Tamandua tetradactyla: one gene and its partner. The protein of the gene in region 1 purifies or fractionates together with the protein of each later gene. This does not show direct contact. Links are inferred from orthologs where the notes say so. Each region holds a gene or a part of one and is shown on either strand. Other genes may lie near its edges.

The links. The genes of interacting proteins can lie anywhere in the genome.
Region 2: the proteins of NUP107 (region 1) and SEC13 purify together in Homo sapiens (affinity purification with mass spectrometry; 8 studies listed by BioGRID and IntAct, counting the BioPlex papers as one, with this or other methods). This does not show direct contact. The link is inferred for Tamandua tetradactyla from reciprocal best matches to the Homo sapiens genes NUP107 and SEC13.

What each region holds. Positions count from the first base shown.
Region 1 is NC_135333.1:136,834,463-136,841,878, reverse strand, and holds the start of NUP107 (nuclear pore complex protein Nup107), read right to left. Parts: upstream 3,024-7,416; 5' UTR 2,766-3,023; coding exon 2,758-2,765; intron 1,479-2,757; coding exon 1,387-1,478; intron 933-1,386; coding exon 846-932; intron 230-845; coding exon 114-229; intron 1-113. UniProt on the Homo sapiens protein: Plays a role in the nuclear pore complex (NPC) assembly and/or maintenance. Required for the assembly of peripheral proteins into the NPC. May anchor NUP62 to the NPC. Involved in nephrogenesis.
Region 2 is NC_135335.1:38,755,922-38,763,839, reverse strand, and holds the start of SEC13 (protein SEC13 homolog), read right to left. Parts: upstream 3,064-7,918; 5' UTR 2,950-3,063; coding exon 2,947-2,949; intron 1-2,946. UniProt on the Homo sapiens protein: Functions as a component of the nuclear pore complex (NPC) and the COPII coat. At the endoplasmic reticulum, SEC13 is involved in the biogenesis of COPII-coated vesicles.

The DNA.
Region 1 (7,416 bases):
ATTTTGATTTATGATGAATACGATGACAATTCTTATTAAAAGAAAAGGTTTTTCAGTTGAATTTTATACCTTCATAAAAAGGGGGAAGATTTCAGCCCCATTCTCCTACATACCATGGACAGATTTCCCAAGAACCCCGAAGACTGTGTAAGCCTGGGCGACCTTCCTCCTGTTCCAAGAATGCCGGAAGTATCTGGCTGCCTTAGTAAGCTTCGGTTCAGGGGAGTAACTACAAATAAGAGATTAAGAAAAACAAGCTAACAAACAATCCAGCATAAGTAATTTTCTGTTTTTAGTTCTTTAAAGTCTAAACAAATAAATACTTTAAATGTTAACATTTTCTTGACTGGGAGATTTAACTTTGCTCCGCTAACTTTGAGTGTTTGGTTTTTACCACAAATAGAGATGCTTTCATTATAAAATAACTGAAGAATAAAAAAAAAACACAACAATAATGAGTTAATGAATTCTTAATATTCTAATTTTATAAAGCTTACTAAGAAAGAAGTATAGTGTAGAGAGCATGAGTTTTGGAGTAAGCAGACCACTTTTGAATTTGGTTACATTACTTACATACTTAACCAAGTTATTTAACATCTCTAAATCTCACTTTTAATTTTGAAAAAATGTAAATATTGAAAATATCTACATCACAGCTACCATGTGTTTATACAAAGTATAACTTGCATGTGGTAAGAATTCAATAAATAGTAGCTGTAATCACTACTATTATTATTATTAATTATTGATATTACAACCAAATATATTTATTACATGTACAACAAATGTTAGCACTATTATTAGTGCTATTATTAGATGTTTTAAAAGCAAAAAAAAAATCTTACAATGCGGTCGAAATGAGCTGGGAGTTCGAGGGATAACCTGGTTTCTTGGTGTAGTATTAGCTAAATTTTCATCTTGGGATGCTCGAACTGTTAGAAGAGTTAAAGAAAATTTTCCATGCAGAAAAGAGATCAAGTTAGGATTAAGCATATTTATATTACACAAAATATGTGAATACATTTTTTTCAAGAACAGTGCAGTTCATAGCAACTATTTTTTATGCAGTCAATACATAACAAATTCCTCTGTCAATGAAACTCTAAGTTGTCAGTCTTAAATTACTATATAGTGAATGAAGAGTTCTTAGTCTAAGTTCAAATAAAAAAAGGAACCATGTCAGCAGAACCTAACCACAATATGATAGTCAGCAGTAAAATGGAACACATTTTCAGGGAAACATAAAACTTACTATATTATCATGTAGCATTATATGCTACAATATTTAATAACTAGTGTTAATACTGCTCATAAAAATAAAATTCCATAACTGAAATTCCAAATATCTTGCAATTTTTATAATGATGTCTAAAATGCAAAGGATACTTAAAACTCTTTTTTGAGCACTCTGCTTCCGTGCAGTCCGTGTCACTTCTGCCTCCCGGATCACAGGGGATGACATCTCTCCAAAGTCACTCCTAAGTAGTACAATCAAGCTCATGTGAATGAACATTTACATCACAACTGTAGAAAAGCACTTAAGTTTGTTAAGGTAGGTCAAGATTTTATAAGTGTTAATGAAGGAAAATGTTCTTTCCCCTACAGGATGGAGAAACTCATCTTAAAGGATCTTCTGTAGTCTCCAAAATACTTCCATGGGTACTATGGAAAAGTCGGTTAGTAGAGATGTTTGAGCTTGTGAGATGGGAGGTTAAATAAAAACGAATGCCCATAAATTGGGAGAAACAACCCCAAGGTACCCTGTCTCCTGTCTTACCAATGTTGTACTTATAATGCTCCAGAGTTCCCCTGTTGTTCTCATCCAAAGGTCTAGAAACTAAACTGCATGGATTCAGAGATCTGTGTTCTAAAACACAAATCTAATTTGCTTTTCTTCCACTTAAAACCCTCAAGTCTGACCTACCTTAACAAACTTAGCTCCCTCCAGCTTATAGAATCAAGTCTAAATTCCTTTGCCTGGTATTCACAACCTGATCCCAGCTTACAGGTTTGGCCTTACATTCAGTCATAAACATCACTGCCATACAAATATATACTACATATGACCATTTATCTACACAATGCATGTACTTTCACACCCTCACACCTTTATACATGCTGCTCCTTTTACAGAGACCTACATTTATCCCCTTGTCTACCCGATGAACACCTATTCACTCATCAAGGGAACTCAGTTCTGCTCATTAACTTCCTAACTTTGACTCAAGTTTATCTCTTTTAACTTCACACAATGTTCTCATCTATGAAGAGAGGATGAGACTGCCTATTCTCTCCGCTGTTATAAAGACTAAATTAGCTAATAATATGCTTAAATGTTTAGCACAGTGGCAATCACACAGTTGACACTCAATTGTTGGCTACTGCCAGGAACCAAAAGTCTGAATTTGGATTCCGGTTCCGTCACTGGCTTTGTGATCTCAAGCAGTCACTGAGCATCTCTAATCCAGAGCCACCACTTAGCCTGCCCACCCTAGAAGCGAAAAATGTGTGGAAGCGCAGAATAGATAGATCACAGAGTCACCGTAGGAACGCAGGCGATTATCATTATCTGTATGCTCCACCCCTCATCCCAGCCAAGCAGCCTTTCTTACATCAGCTCCCAGCCAGTGAAAGGAATCTAGAGAGAGCACACAAGACCTCTTTGGCTTCCTCTGTAAGTCGGGTTTCACCTATTCCGTTCCACCAGCAGGCAATAGGGACAAGTTCCCGGGTTAAGCTGTCACCACCAGAACTGACCTGTCCATGGCTATGGCCTTCTTAACCAACTTAGGTTGCAATTCGGATCTAAATGAGCTACCGCGTTTCTGCCTTCCCGCGTTCCGGAAGCAAACCCTTCAACCCGGAAGCACTCCCGACTGAACTCCCGTTAGTGAAAAGAGATGGGGGAGAAGAAAGGAAACAAACAAAAAGCGCAAAAAAGCCCATGACTTTACTATCGGGCGCATGCGCAACCCTTTCCTCCCGTAGGCGCCGGTGCCGGCCTGATCGGCGCAGGCGCGAACGGATGTCCGTGTGTGACCGCGCCCAGCAGGGCCCGGTTGGGCTGGGGGCGGGGTCTGGGCCGGGGGCGGGGGGTGGGCAGGAGGTGGGTCTTGACCTGTTTGGCCGTGACCCGTTTGGCCGTGACGTATGTCTTCGCTTTTCCTCAGTGGTGTTTGTCTCCGCGCTGAGCTAAGGTACTGGAAGCTTGGCGACGTAGACTGCTAATATTGAAAAATGTGAATAATTTTCTTGTATTCTTGGTTAGAAGATGTCTGGACTTGGAATCCTGACGTGCTGGCTCTGCCTACACCTACAGGGTCCCTGACTCAATCACTGCACTCACCTGGTTTGAATTGGTGATATAACCCCCTACAGATTTTGAAACTGTTCTCAGTAATTGCTATTTGTCCTTCACTTGATTTTTTTTTCCCATTAAGAGGAAAAGGATCAGCTGTTCTAAAAAGTCGAAAAGCAGCGTGAAAGGCGATGGGTTGCTCTCTATTTCAAAGCGCCGCCTCGGCAAAAAGTAGTGTCTATTTTGGCTCCAAAGAGATCAGTTGAAGTTTTGCTTTAGGCATTTACATTCCGCTCAAATTCTGGGAACCTTCGTTCCCAGAAAGGCCTCGTCATAACCTTATCTACCCTGAGGCAACACAGCGTGTTGAATAAAGGTGATTTTGGTGTGCCCCGATCGAGGTTTGATCGTCTCTGCCCGCAGATTCCTTTAGGACTCTGCAGGATGAAGATAAAAACACCTCTATCACGAAGTTGTGAGGATTAAAAATGAGATCGCAAATGTGCACTGCACATGGTAGATCATCGAAATATTAATTTTCTCCTTCAGTAACCCGGGTGATGAATCACATCTTGGAACTCGCTCATGTTCCCCACCTCCTAATTTTCCTGTACAAAAGTGCACTTGTTCTCTTATGGAAAGTGAACTGTGGTTCTAAATTATTTTTGTCAGTGGGGAGGCACATTTATTCGAAGTGTGAACCAGTGGCGCCTTTACGTGTGTCCCTTCCGCAAATGAATTCCAGTGGGTTTTACTGATATAAGTTATTCTTTGCTTTGTTGTGTTTTGGGTCGCTTATTTCAGTGACCCTTGCTGATTTCCATTTTAGGTATACATTAAGTGATTGATCTTAAAGCACAGTAGAAAAAGCAGCAGCAGCTTTGGGCAAAGTAATAGACCTGTTCAGTTCATATTCAAGTATAGTAAATTTGTTAACAAGTGTACAGGGATTCACTTTTGTCACATTTCATTAGTAGGCAAGAACATCTTGATGCCCCCAAACATTTAAAAGTTTATTCATTTGGTTGCCTTAAAACTATGTGGAATAAACTCCTTGTGTGGTGTATATTGTATACATGCTGGTTTTATGTTCGAGTTCTTGGTTGCAATGATAAAAATTCACTATGGCTAATTTAAACAAAAGGGAATTTACTGGAAGCATAGCAGAAGCTCATAGATTTTTATCAAAAAGTTGGAGAAAGGACTTTGAAAACTCATACCTCCAGGCAACTAGGGGGCCAGGAAGCAGCCATCCCACAAGCACTCAAGACAGAACATTTTGATCTGGAGCACACACACACTCACACACACACCCTGTAGAAGAATCTGTTTTTTTTTCCCCTCCCCTACTTTTTATGTGGAAAAGTTCCAAACCTACAGTACATTTCTCACGTTTTCTCTCTTTTTTCTTGAACCTTTTGAGAGTTAGTTGCAGTCATCTTTAACACTTCACCCTAAATACTTGAGCATACATCTCCTAAAAACAAGGAGACATTCTCCTACATAGTCACAATGAAATTTCCCCACTCAGAACATTAAACAATGATGTAACTACCATATTTAAATTTCCCTAACTGTCCTAATAATGTTCTTTATACCTGTCCTCTCCACAATCCTGGATCCATGTTTTCATTTCCGATGCTGCTCAAAGCAGATACTATGAAACGAGTTGGATTTAAACAATGAATGGGAACGTTTTAACTTACAGTTTGAGGCCATGAGAATGTCCAAATCAAGGCATCATCATGGTGATGCTTTCTTCCCAAAGACTGGCTGGCGAGCCCTGTTCCTCTGTCATATGGCAGGCGGCATATGGTGGCATCTTCTAGTTTCTCCCTTCTCTTCTGGATTTCATTTTCTTGCTTCTGTGGCTTTCTTTTTCTCTATCTGAATTGTAATCTCTTATAAAGGATTCCAGTAAAGGATTAAGACCCATTCTAAATGAGTGTGAGTCACACCTTAACTGAAGTAGCCTCATCAAAAGGTCCTAGTTAAAATGAGTTTATATAAGTTGAATTAAATTTAAGAACATGTCTTTCTGGAGTACATATAGCTTCAAATCACCACAGTCCAATATAGGATCATACAGTTAGTTGTCATGTGTCTCTTTGTTCTATTTTAATTTATAATAGTCCCCAGACGTTTTTCCCCCTTTTAAGTCACTATTTTGAAGAGGCCAGATCAGTACTACAGTATGTCTTTTAGTTTGGATTTGTCTGATTGTTTCCTCATGGTCAACACATTTGAACGCATTGAGTGTGTGTGTGCAGAAATACTTCGTAGGTGTCAATCACATCAGCTGACGTGAAAGAGGAGTTTACCTTGGCCTCAAAATATGACTGACACCACCACCCCTCTCCACCCCACTTTCAAAAGAAAACATCCTTTTACCTGCTTTTCTTTCTATCTGCCATCTTTTCTTTCTTCATCCCTTCTCAGCCAAACTTCTGTTTTGGTACATTTTAAATAGCTATTATTGGCTTTCTTACTATAAATCCAATATGTGTGTCTATTATGGAACGATAAGAAACTAGACAATAAGCAAAGGGACAAATTAAAGAATTTTCATAAGCCTATTCACTATATCTGACTATAGTCCATGAGAAACCCGCATCATGAATTGCCCAGCTGAATCCAATTTATCCCCAGAACCAAGAGAAATAATAATATATTATTGTTTTATGCCAGTAAATTTGGGGGTGGCTTGTTATACAGCAAAACATAATTAGATTCCTTTCCTGGACCGTGCCTACCCACCCCCCAAAGATAATTAGAACAAGTGGGATTATACTATAACACTGTTTTATAATCTGCTTTTTCACCACATATGAACATCTTTTATATCAGAAATTATTCATCTACACCATGTTTAATTTAGTCATTTAAAAAAAGAGAGGAAAAGAGAACATTCTTTTTTGACTTTTTGTCTCCACTTCCATTTACAGTACAACCTGATGCTGTCTGATTCAACCCCACTGCTAAAGTTCTAAACAAGGTCAACAATGATGTCCTTGCTAGTGAAAGTTTATTCATGGTAAGAGGCTGCAGGTGACAAGGGAGGAGAGTTGGAGTGGGTGGAGGGAGGAGAAGGGCAGGAGAAGAAAAAGGTGCGAAGGTGGCGGCTCACTCTGGACCCAGAGGGGGCAGCATGATGAGGCGGGTAACCCTGTTCCTTAACAGCAGCCCCAAGAATGGAGAAGTGGTTGCTTTGTATGGAACTTTATTTGATTTGCTTTCTGTGGCCAGTAATAAACTTGGCATCAGCCACCAGCATGTATAATGAGAAAGGTGGGCTGATTGATGATATTGCTTTGATCAGGGATGATGATGTTTAGTTTGTATGTGAAGGAGAACAATTTATTGATCCTTAGATTCTAAACCACCTGAAGGACTGACAGGATCCCACACAGATTGGCTAATGGAGGGCGGTAGTTTACAACTACACAGAGCACTTTGGTAAATGAAGAACCTATAGTATGCTGGCCCACGTGTTTAAAGACAAAGGTGTCTGGGGAAATAAGCAAGATTGTAGAGGAGTTTCTTAATTGACTGAAGTCCTGAGTACTTTGAACCCATTGTGAACTATTTGCGTCATGGACAGCTCATTGTAAATGATGACATTAATTTACTAGGCGTATTAGAAGAAGTAAGATTTTTTGTTATTGACTCATTGATTGAACATCTTGAAGTGGCAATAAAGAATTCTTAACCACTAGAGGATCATTCACCAATATCCAGAAAAGAATTTGTCCAATTTCTACTAGCCACTCCAATTAAATCAGAGTTGCTTTGGCAGGGTTTGAACTTCAGTGGTGCTGATCTTTCTCATTTGTACCTTCAATACATTAACTTCAAAATGGCCAGTATAAGCCGTTGCAGGCTTGCACATGCTAATCTCTGCTGTGCAGATCTTGAATGAGCTGATCTCTCTGGATCAGTGTTTGATTGTGCAAATCTCCAGGGGCTCAAGATGCTATGTTCTAATGCAGAAGGGGCATCCTTGAAACTGTAATTTTGAATTGGTCTTAAAGCCAATTTAGAAGGTGCTAATCTGAAAAGTGTGAATATGGAAGGAAGTCAAATGACAGGAATTGACCTAAGAGGTACTACATTTAAAA
Region 2 (7,918 bases), on another chromosome or scaffold:
CACACCTCAGTGTTGGAAATTCCCTGCTAACTGGAATGGCTGCATATCTACATATCCTCTGAATATCTTCAGTGCTGAATGTCCACAACATTCTATGCTATATCTTCTTCCTAGGAGAAGGTGAGCTCCCTGGAGCCAGGGTTTGAGTTAGCTGCAGATTTTTAATCCCTTCAAATCATCTGGCACAGTACTTAGCAGTACAGTGACTACTTGCTGAATGAACAAATGAATGAACAAAAACTGACATTTTTACTTTGCTCAACCACTACTCTCTTTAAATTCTTAGGATATAAAAGGAACTGACAAGATGTAGTAGAGAGGCTGGAGGGAACTGCCTGAAAATGTGGAGCTGTGTTCCAGTAGCTATGTTTCTTGAAGATGATTGTATAATGATATAGCTTTCACAACGTGACTGTCTGATTGTGAAAACCTTGTGTCTGATGATCCTTTTATCTGCCTTATCAACAAATGAGTAAAACATGAAATAAAGATGAATAATAGGGGGAACAAATGTAAAAATAAATTTAGATTGAAATGCTGGTGTTCAGTGAGGGGGAGGGATGGGGGTATGGTTTGTATGATTTTTTTTTCTTTTTATTTCTTTTTCTGAATACGTGCAAATGTTCCAAGAAATGATCATGATGATGAATACGCAACTATGTGATGATATTGTGAATTACTGATTATATATATAGACTGGAATGATCAAAAGTTAAGAATGTTTGCGTTTGGTGTTTTTTGGTATTTAAAAAATTTTTTTTCAAAAAAAGGGACTGAAAGCACAGTTATATTCTGGAATTGATATTTACCATACCTTCTATTTCATCTTTTCAAACACAAGCCCTGCTGATATAAAGTTTAGACTTAGCTTTTCAGAAAGGTGGTTTCTGGAAGAGGATAGCTGCATTTGTGGACAAAATGTACACAAGTAAAGACAGCTTCTTTCATGAAATTCTAAACTCCGTAAAGAGAGGATCCCCAAGAACTGCAAGGGCAAGTAAGGAAGACAGATAAGGGGAAGAGTCTCCTATGTATGTAGAGCACTACATGTTACAAAGTGATTCCACATGTGTGCTTGGAGGTACAAAGGGCAGAGTTAATCAGGGATGTCTGACTCAGGAACTGAAGCTCAGAGAAGAGAAAGTACCTGGTCACAGTGACTAAGGAAAGGCAGACCTGGGAATGGAGCCTTTCTCCTAGCTTGCAGCCCACAAGGCTGTCTATCTAGAACATAAAGTAGCTGTTACAATGTATTCCTTAAATCCAAGACTGAAGGCTAAGGAGAGTCAGGAAGAAAGTTTACTAGGAGGTAGTTTCATATCAGGTCATCAAAGGACCTTAAAGATAACTAGCATTTATTTCTAACCACTCTCACCCACCAGAGTTGGTGAACCATGATTCTCAACATGTGTGTGTGTTTTGTTTTTTTTTAATATTTTTATTGAGAACTACCCACAAACATTCAGCCCAACCACAGTATATAATCAATGGCTCACAACACCACCACATAGTTGTGTATTCTTCATCATGATCATTTTTAGAACACTTGCATCACTCCAGAAAAAGAAACAGAAAACAAACAAACAAACAAACAAAACCCCTCATACATCCCATACCCCTCATCCCTCCTTCTCACTGACCTACAGTACTTCGACGTACCCAATTCTTACCCTTTACCTCCCCTTATTATTTGTTTATTTTTAATTCTGTTTCTTCTTCTTCTTCTTCTTTTTTTTTTTAACTCATCTTTCCATACCCTGGATAAAAGGAGCATCAGACACAGGGTTTCCACAATCCCACAGTCACAATGTAAAAGCTATATAGTTATACTGTCATCTTCGAGAATCAAGGCTACTGGAACACAGTTCAACAGTTTAAGGTACTTCCCTCTAGCCACTCCAAGACACTATAAGCTAAACAGGGATATCTATATAATGTGTAAGAATATGTGTGTTGTAAGCTCTTAAAGCACTTCCTCCCGAGCACACGGAGTTATCTGTGTTTTCCTTTTTAAAGTTCTAGGAGGCAGTACTCAAAACAATTCAGCTCCTCAGAGTCAGTCCATGAGTTAAAAATTCAGTTAAAATGAGCTGAGTATCAGAGCACAAAAGATCCTATTCAGCACCTGAAGCCTCTTCACCCAAAAGAGGAGGAACTAAACCCGATGTCTTGACTTGGGGTTTCCACACGTCTGTGACTGAGTGAGCGTTTTTAAATGAACCCTCACGGGCTGAAGATGGAGGCTTCCATCCACTATTTCTCAGTTCGGACAGTCAACTACCCAATAAGTCTGGAGTACACGTACACCGTGGATACCAATGAGATAAAAACCTCAGCTCCTGCCCTCCAGAAAGTCCTTCAGCACATCCTTACATTCAGTTTCCTGAGGGGATCATCATACTTAGGGTACCTTCTGTGGGGCCCTGCGCTGAGTAAGAGTTCGACAAACATCTCTGCTGGCACAGGTGGTAGGTGGCAGAACTGAATCTTAGCTCTGCGACTCTTCTGCTGTGCAAGACGTTCCACATCTCCGGACCTTAAGTTGTCACATCTGTACAATGTTGATAATAATACCACCCACCTCATAGGTATACTGACAGACTGAGCTTATGAACAACACTGGGAACTGACTACGGGCTCGGATACGGTAGCTACAATGCTATTTTGGGTTCTGTTTGTTGAGGTAAGGGAACTAAAGGAAGGTACGAGAGACGCGGCGGCCGCGCGGCACGCAGAGTTCCGGGAGGTTCCGCGGCCTTCCCCTCCGAAAGGAGCCGAGCGGCAGGGCCAAAGACCCCAAACCTCGGGAGAGTGGAGGAAGCTAGACGGCCCCTCTCTCGGGCTGAGCGCAACGCGGCAGTGGAATCCGACAGGGCGAGTTCTGTCCGGTCAGCAGACGCGACCCCGGCCCGAATTCCGCTGGGTGTCCCGGGTCCCAACACTCACCATGACTGCGTCAGTGGCGGCTCCGGCCCTCGGACGTGGCAGCTCCCGGTTCCTCCCAACGGCTCACTTCCGGTGCCGCTCGGCCGGAGTCTCCGGTAGCAACCCACACCGGCGTGCAAAGGTTCCGCGCAGTCTAGAGGCCGCGCCGCGCCCTCCCGTGGCCCCGCCCCTTTAAGGATCCCGCGGGCTGACCAGATGAGGCTGCGGGTTCCACCCGGACCCTGACCAGGGGTCACTTGGAATCCGAAACTCAGATACCAAGACCGTCTTCCCTCCGGGCCAGTCCTTCCCTTTTCCTGAGATCCGTAAATGAAAGAAAGGATTCATAACTGCAGCTTCCCCTGCCTCCCTCCGGTTCGGGATGCGACCGTCCTTATGACGAAACATTGTAGGATGATTAAATATTGGGGGATGGGTGGGTAAACTGGACGCACCCAGTACTTTCTTGTTGTTAGACCTTCCTCAGAATCCAAGGGCTGGGACGCCGTGAGGCTTGTTACCCCTCCTTCCCCTAGTCATAGGGCCGATGCCCTTCCCCACGGTCCGGGATCCTGTGAGTCTGGCCCGTCAGGTAATCGACCGGGCAAGGAGGGATCTTAGCCAGGTTCCTACAGCTGGAGCCCAGACCCAACCACTAGAGTCCCCAGTCCTTAAGTCCCTGGTTGTCCAAGGGGAGGACCCCAGTAAGCTCAGTGAGAACCCTGCACCGCTGGACAGAGATGGGGGCTCCTTTCTGCCACACATGGCCCAGGAGTCTGGCCCCTCATGGCACTGAGGAGAGTGACCCAGCGTGGAACCTAGATTCCCCTTAGATGACAGTTTCCTCTCTTGAAAACAGGGTAAGAAATCTAGCTGGATGATTACCGCTTGAGGAAACTCAGGACTTGTACTTCCTTCCAACGGATTTCAGGACTTGTTTATCCCTCTAATGGAAAAATATTGCAGGACTGTGTGGGAAGTGGGGCGGGGGGTGGGGGGAGTGGGGACTAGTATGGAGCAGAGAATAAAGGTGGGGATCTCTTGGGTTTCCTGTTCTTAAAGGAATAGACCTTGGCCTCCGGTCTGTAGCTGCACCACTGATTTCTCTCAGTGATAAGGCTAAGTCAGTTTTCTCCCTGAGCCTCGTTTCCTGAACTGGAAAATGGGGATAATGGCATATCAGATATAATATAAATATAATGCATGGTGGAATAGTTGTTATTAAAAGAATGTCCTTGCATAGGCCTTGAAAAAGAAATTGAGAATTTGGGACAGAGAATGAAACTGTATCTTACGCATTGCTGCAGACCTGAAAGACAGTGTTAATAAACTGGTTTAGAGTACAGGGTCAGGAAGGAAACTCTTAGTTTAAATACTATATTGCCTACCAGCTAGTAGTACCAAGTGGGAACTGTAATAATACACCCTCTGAAGGTTGATATGAGATTAAATGGATGTGAAATTGGAAGTGGATGGGCCTGGGAAGAGGCTAGGATTTGGGGTTCATGTGTGGCTGCATCTCCCATCCCTCACTCAACATTGGGGATGGTGTCTTGCTCTGATGCTAAGCAGAGGTTTACAAAGTTCAGACACTTTGGGTACCAGGCTCCCCTCTTCCTAATAGGGATGCTTCTTACATCCTGTGTCCATTATCTCCTGCCCCCAGAACCAAATCAGGCCACTCTTAGGTCTCCCCAATTTGTGACCCCCTCTCCCCCGAGTCCCTTTGCCTGCATCTTCTCCTCCTCCTCCTGAGGCCCCTTCTAAGATTTTATTCTCTGGGACTATTGGCCATTCCTCATGGAGGGTCAGTAGCTGATGGCAGGTTAAGTTTGTCTCTCTCCTGGATTTTCAGGTATGAATATGCACTTGTTCCAGAAGGTATGACCTGGTGGAAGGAGATACACAGCCTTGGGACTTCCCTCCCAGGGACTTAATTTCCCCGGAATTTAAATCCACGAGGGGTGAGGTGGAGACCCAGTTGTCCTGTGGAAAAAGGTCTTGTGATGTGTACCGTGTCTGTGTTTCCACGTGTGCATTTATTGTTATTGCTCAGTATAGTGTTGAAAAGGCAGACAAATCCCATTCATTACAGAGAGCACAAGCCAGAGATACAGAGAAATAAAGAGTGTACAATAAGAGCACAGTCACTTCCCAGTCCCATTTGTCCCAGAGCCCAGGCAGCTTGTGGAAGCTGGAGGCGGCACCATTCTCTCGCTACTCTGTTATAAAATATGTGCACACAAGAGTTAGCAAAGTGTGGTGACCCCCAAAAGGTCCGGGAGAGAGAGCACCACAGGCATTACAAAACACGTAGGGGTCTGAGAAGGGCAGTCCCAAAGCAGCCTCAAATATCTTGTTTTAAGGGGAGGGGGTGTAGGCTGATGCCCAGAGCCTGAGACCCCCTTTCCCCTACTTGCATGGGTAGATCTCTGCATCAAAATCTGGGGAGCTTGATTTGGAACTTGGAAATGACCCAGGGATTTCCTGCTGTTATCTGATTTAGGATTTGGCTCTGTAAGATCCAAAGGCTTTCTAGAACTACACACACCGCCCCCACTCCCAAGACCCTCTAGTGGTAGGGCTTCAGACACTACGTCAGGAGAGAGATTTTTGTGGGTGGCTTGTCAGAGGGCACTAGGTTGGCAGCCTTCTGTAGGCAGAACAAGAATGTGGTGGGGAGAATAACAGTGGTGATAAGGTCCAGATGAAAAATTGCTGTATCCCAAAGGACCTGTCACACAACCTCTGAAAACTCTGGGTAAGAGCAGGAGGTTCTTAGCTTCTCAACCCCCAAACAAAACACAAACCCCAAAATAGACAGAACCTGCTCAGGAAAGGGAGATGGGAACAGACAGTTCTCCACGATGAGAAATTAGAAGTACATGACAACTGGGCCACATATTCCTAACAAAGGTCTCTCTCCTAGGAAGCTCTGGTAGCTCCAGGTCTGGGAGAGACGCCACTTTCTCAGCTGAGCTAGGGGCAGGAGGAGCACCCCCTCCAGCAAGGCTAATGGTGGGGTGACTCTGGTTCCCAAGCTGAGATTAGGTGGGAGCTCAGTGGCCTTTCCTAACAACTCCTGAGCTCAGGTGACAGATGAAATGATGGGAGGGGCACAAGGCTTCTGGCAACTGGCACACTCTCTTTAGCGGCCTTGAGTGGCTGGTAATTGCAATGAAGGGAAAATGCTTGCACACTGAATGACAGGACCCAAAATTTGGGGTAGGAGGAGGGCAGGGATGGGTAGAATTGGCAAAATGTTAAAGTTGACTTCAAGGAGCAGATGGAAGAGAACAACCAAGAAATTTTGTAAGAGAAGAGTGAAGCAGACTCACCCCACCGGTTAACAAAACGTTATAAAGCTACAATCATTAAAACTGCGTGGCTTGTGCCAGATGAGACACCCAGAAAAGGGAACAGGAGAGAAATTCCAGAAACAGTCCCAAGTCCCTGTAAGACATGGCATTTCTAAAAGGCTGGGAAAAAGAGGGCATTATCCAATATCGGGGACACCCAGGATAAGACAGGGATGGAGGCATTGCTCCAGTACTGTCACTGTCATTAGTCTGGTCTCAGAAGCATGGCGCCCTCCCTCGTGTTGGGACAAAGGGACGGGGGGGCAAGGGGTGGTGGTGAGAGGCTAACAGGAGCAATCGGGGCTGCTCCTGAGTTAGGGAAAGCTCTGCCTGAGTTTCAGGAAAGAAATTCCACAGTCTCCTCCCTGCCCACTTCCAAAGGTGGCTGACTCGATAGCCTTAGGAGTCCCTGAATGGGGCTCCCTGCTCTTCCCTCATCTGTCATGGGGGGCAAGTTGGTGAGTTTAGACTTCAGAACTGAATCAGTTATCTTCTCCGGGGGCTCCTGTCTGCAGGACAGAGGAGAAACTAAGTGGATGGTGCAGCCCCAGCCATAGAGAAAAAGTATACAGTACAGAGTATAATATACTTACTATGTTGTTTGAGGTTGTTTTTTGCTTTTTTTTTTTTAACCAGACATTTCAAAACCACACTGAGGGATTAAGGAGTCAGCAATTGAAAGCATAACCATTGCATAGTATTAAATGAACAGAGACGGTGAGTTTTTTTTATTTACAATTATCGTCTAGATAAAAAAATTCATAAAAACAGATGAATGGTCATAAATTATTTACCCCCTAATGGGGTGAACTGCCAAACGTACCCCATGCTGCTAGATATAGGACGCAGAGTGCAAGCTTTACGGACTACAGTGAGTTTTGACAAACCAATCATTTCCACTGTGTGTGGGGATGTATGCAAGTGTGAGAGTGAGGGGGTGTGCACTGAGGGGCTATCATTCCCGACAGAAAAAGACCAACATGAATGCTGTCCTTTCTGAGGTGGCTTCTGTCACTCCCTATTCCCAAGCCAGGCTCCCCTTGGAGAGGCCCCTCCTGTTTGCCCTGCAAGTGGAACAACCCTGGTGTCACGGGATGAGGTTATGGACATGTGAATGGTACAAAGAAGGGGAGGATGGAAAACGTGAGAAAGGAAACTCCAAAAAACACCATGTTCCACGGCTGTCCCATGTTTCACATGTGCAGGTCTTTCCTTCCTCTGCAGGAGGGTGCAGCTGAGTCCAGTGGCATATCCGAGGGCTGGAGGTGCGGTTTCCTCTGCCGGAAACATTTAGAGATATTTCTCCACGCTGTTCCGATGATGCTTTCTGCCCAAGACAGTCCTACTTGAAAGCCTTCTTCTCACAGGCAGGGTTAGCTCGGTGGGCTGGGCTGACTCTGGACCCAAGCTCTCAAGTTTCTCCAACAGCCATCCAGACCCAGGCCCTCCCAGCTGACTATGGCTCTTTTCCCAAGTGGATCTCATCTGGTTTGTGGAAGAGTTCTCTGGGCCCAGAGAAAGGAAGGGGGCCAGGCTGACACAGAACAGCTCTGGGAAGGGTCAGCGTGGGGAATGAATTTTGCAAGCGAGGCGGAAAGGGTTTGGTTTTTCCTTGAAGCATGGGACATCATCGA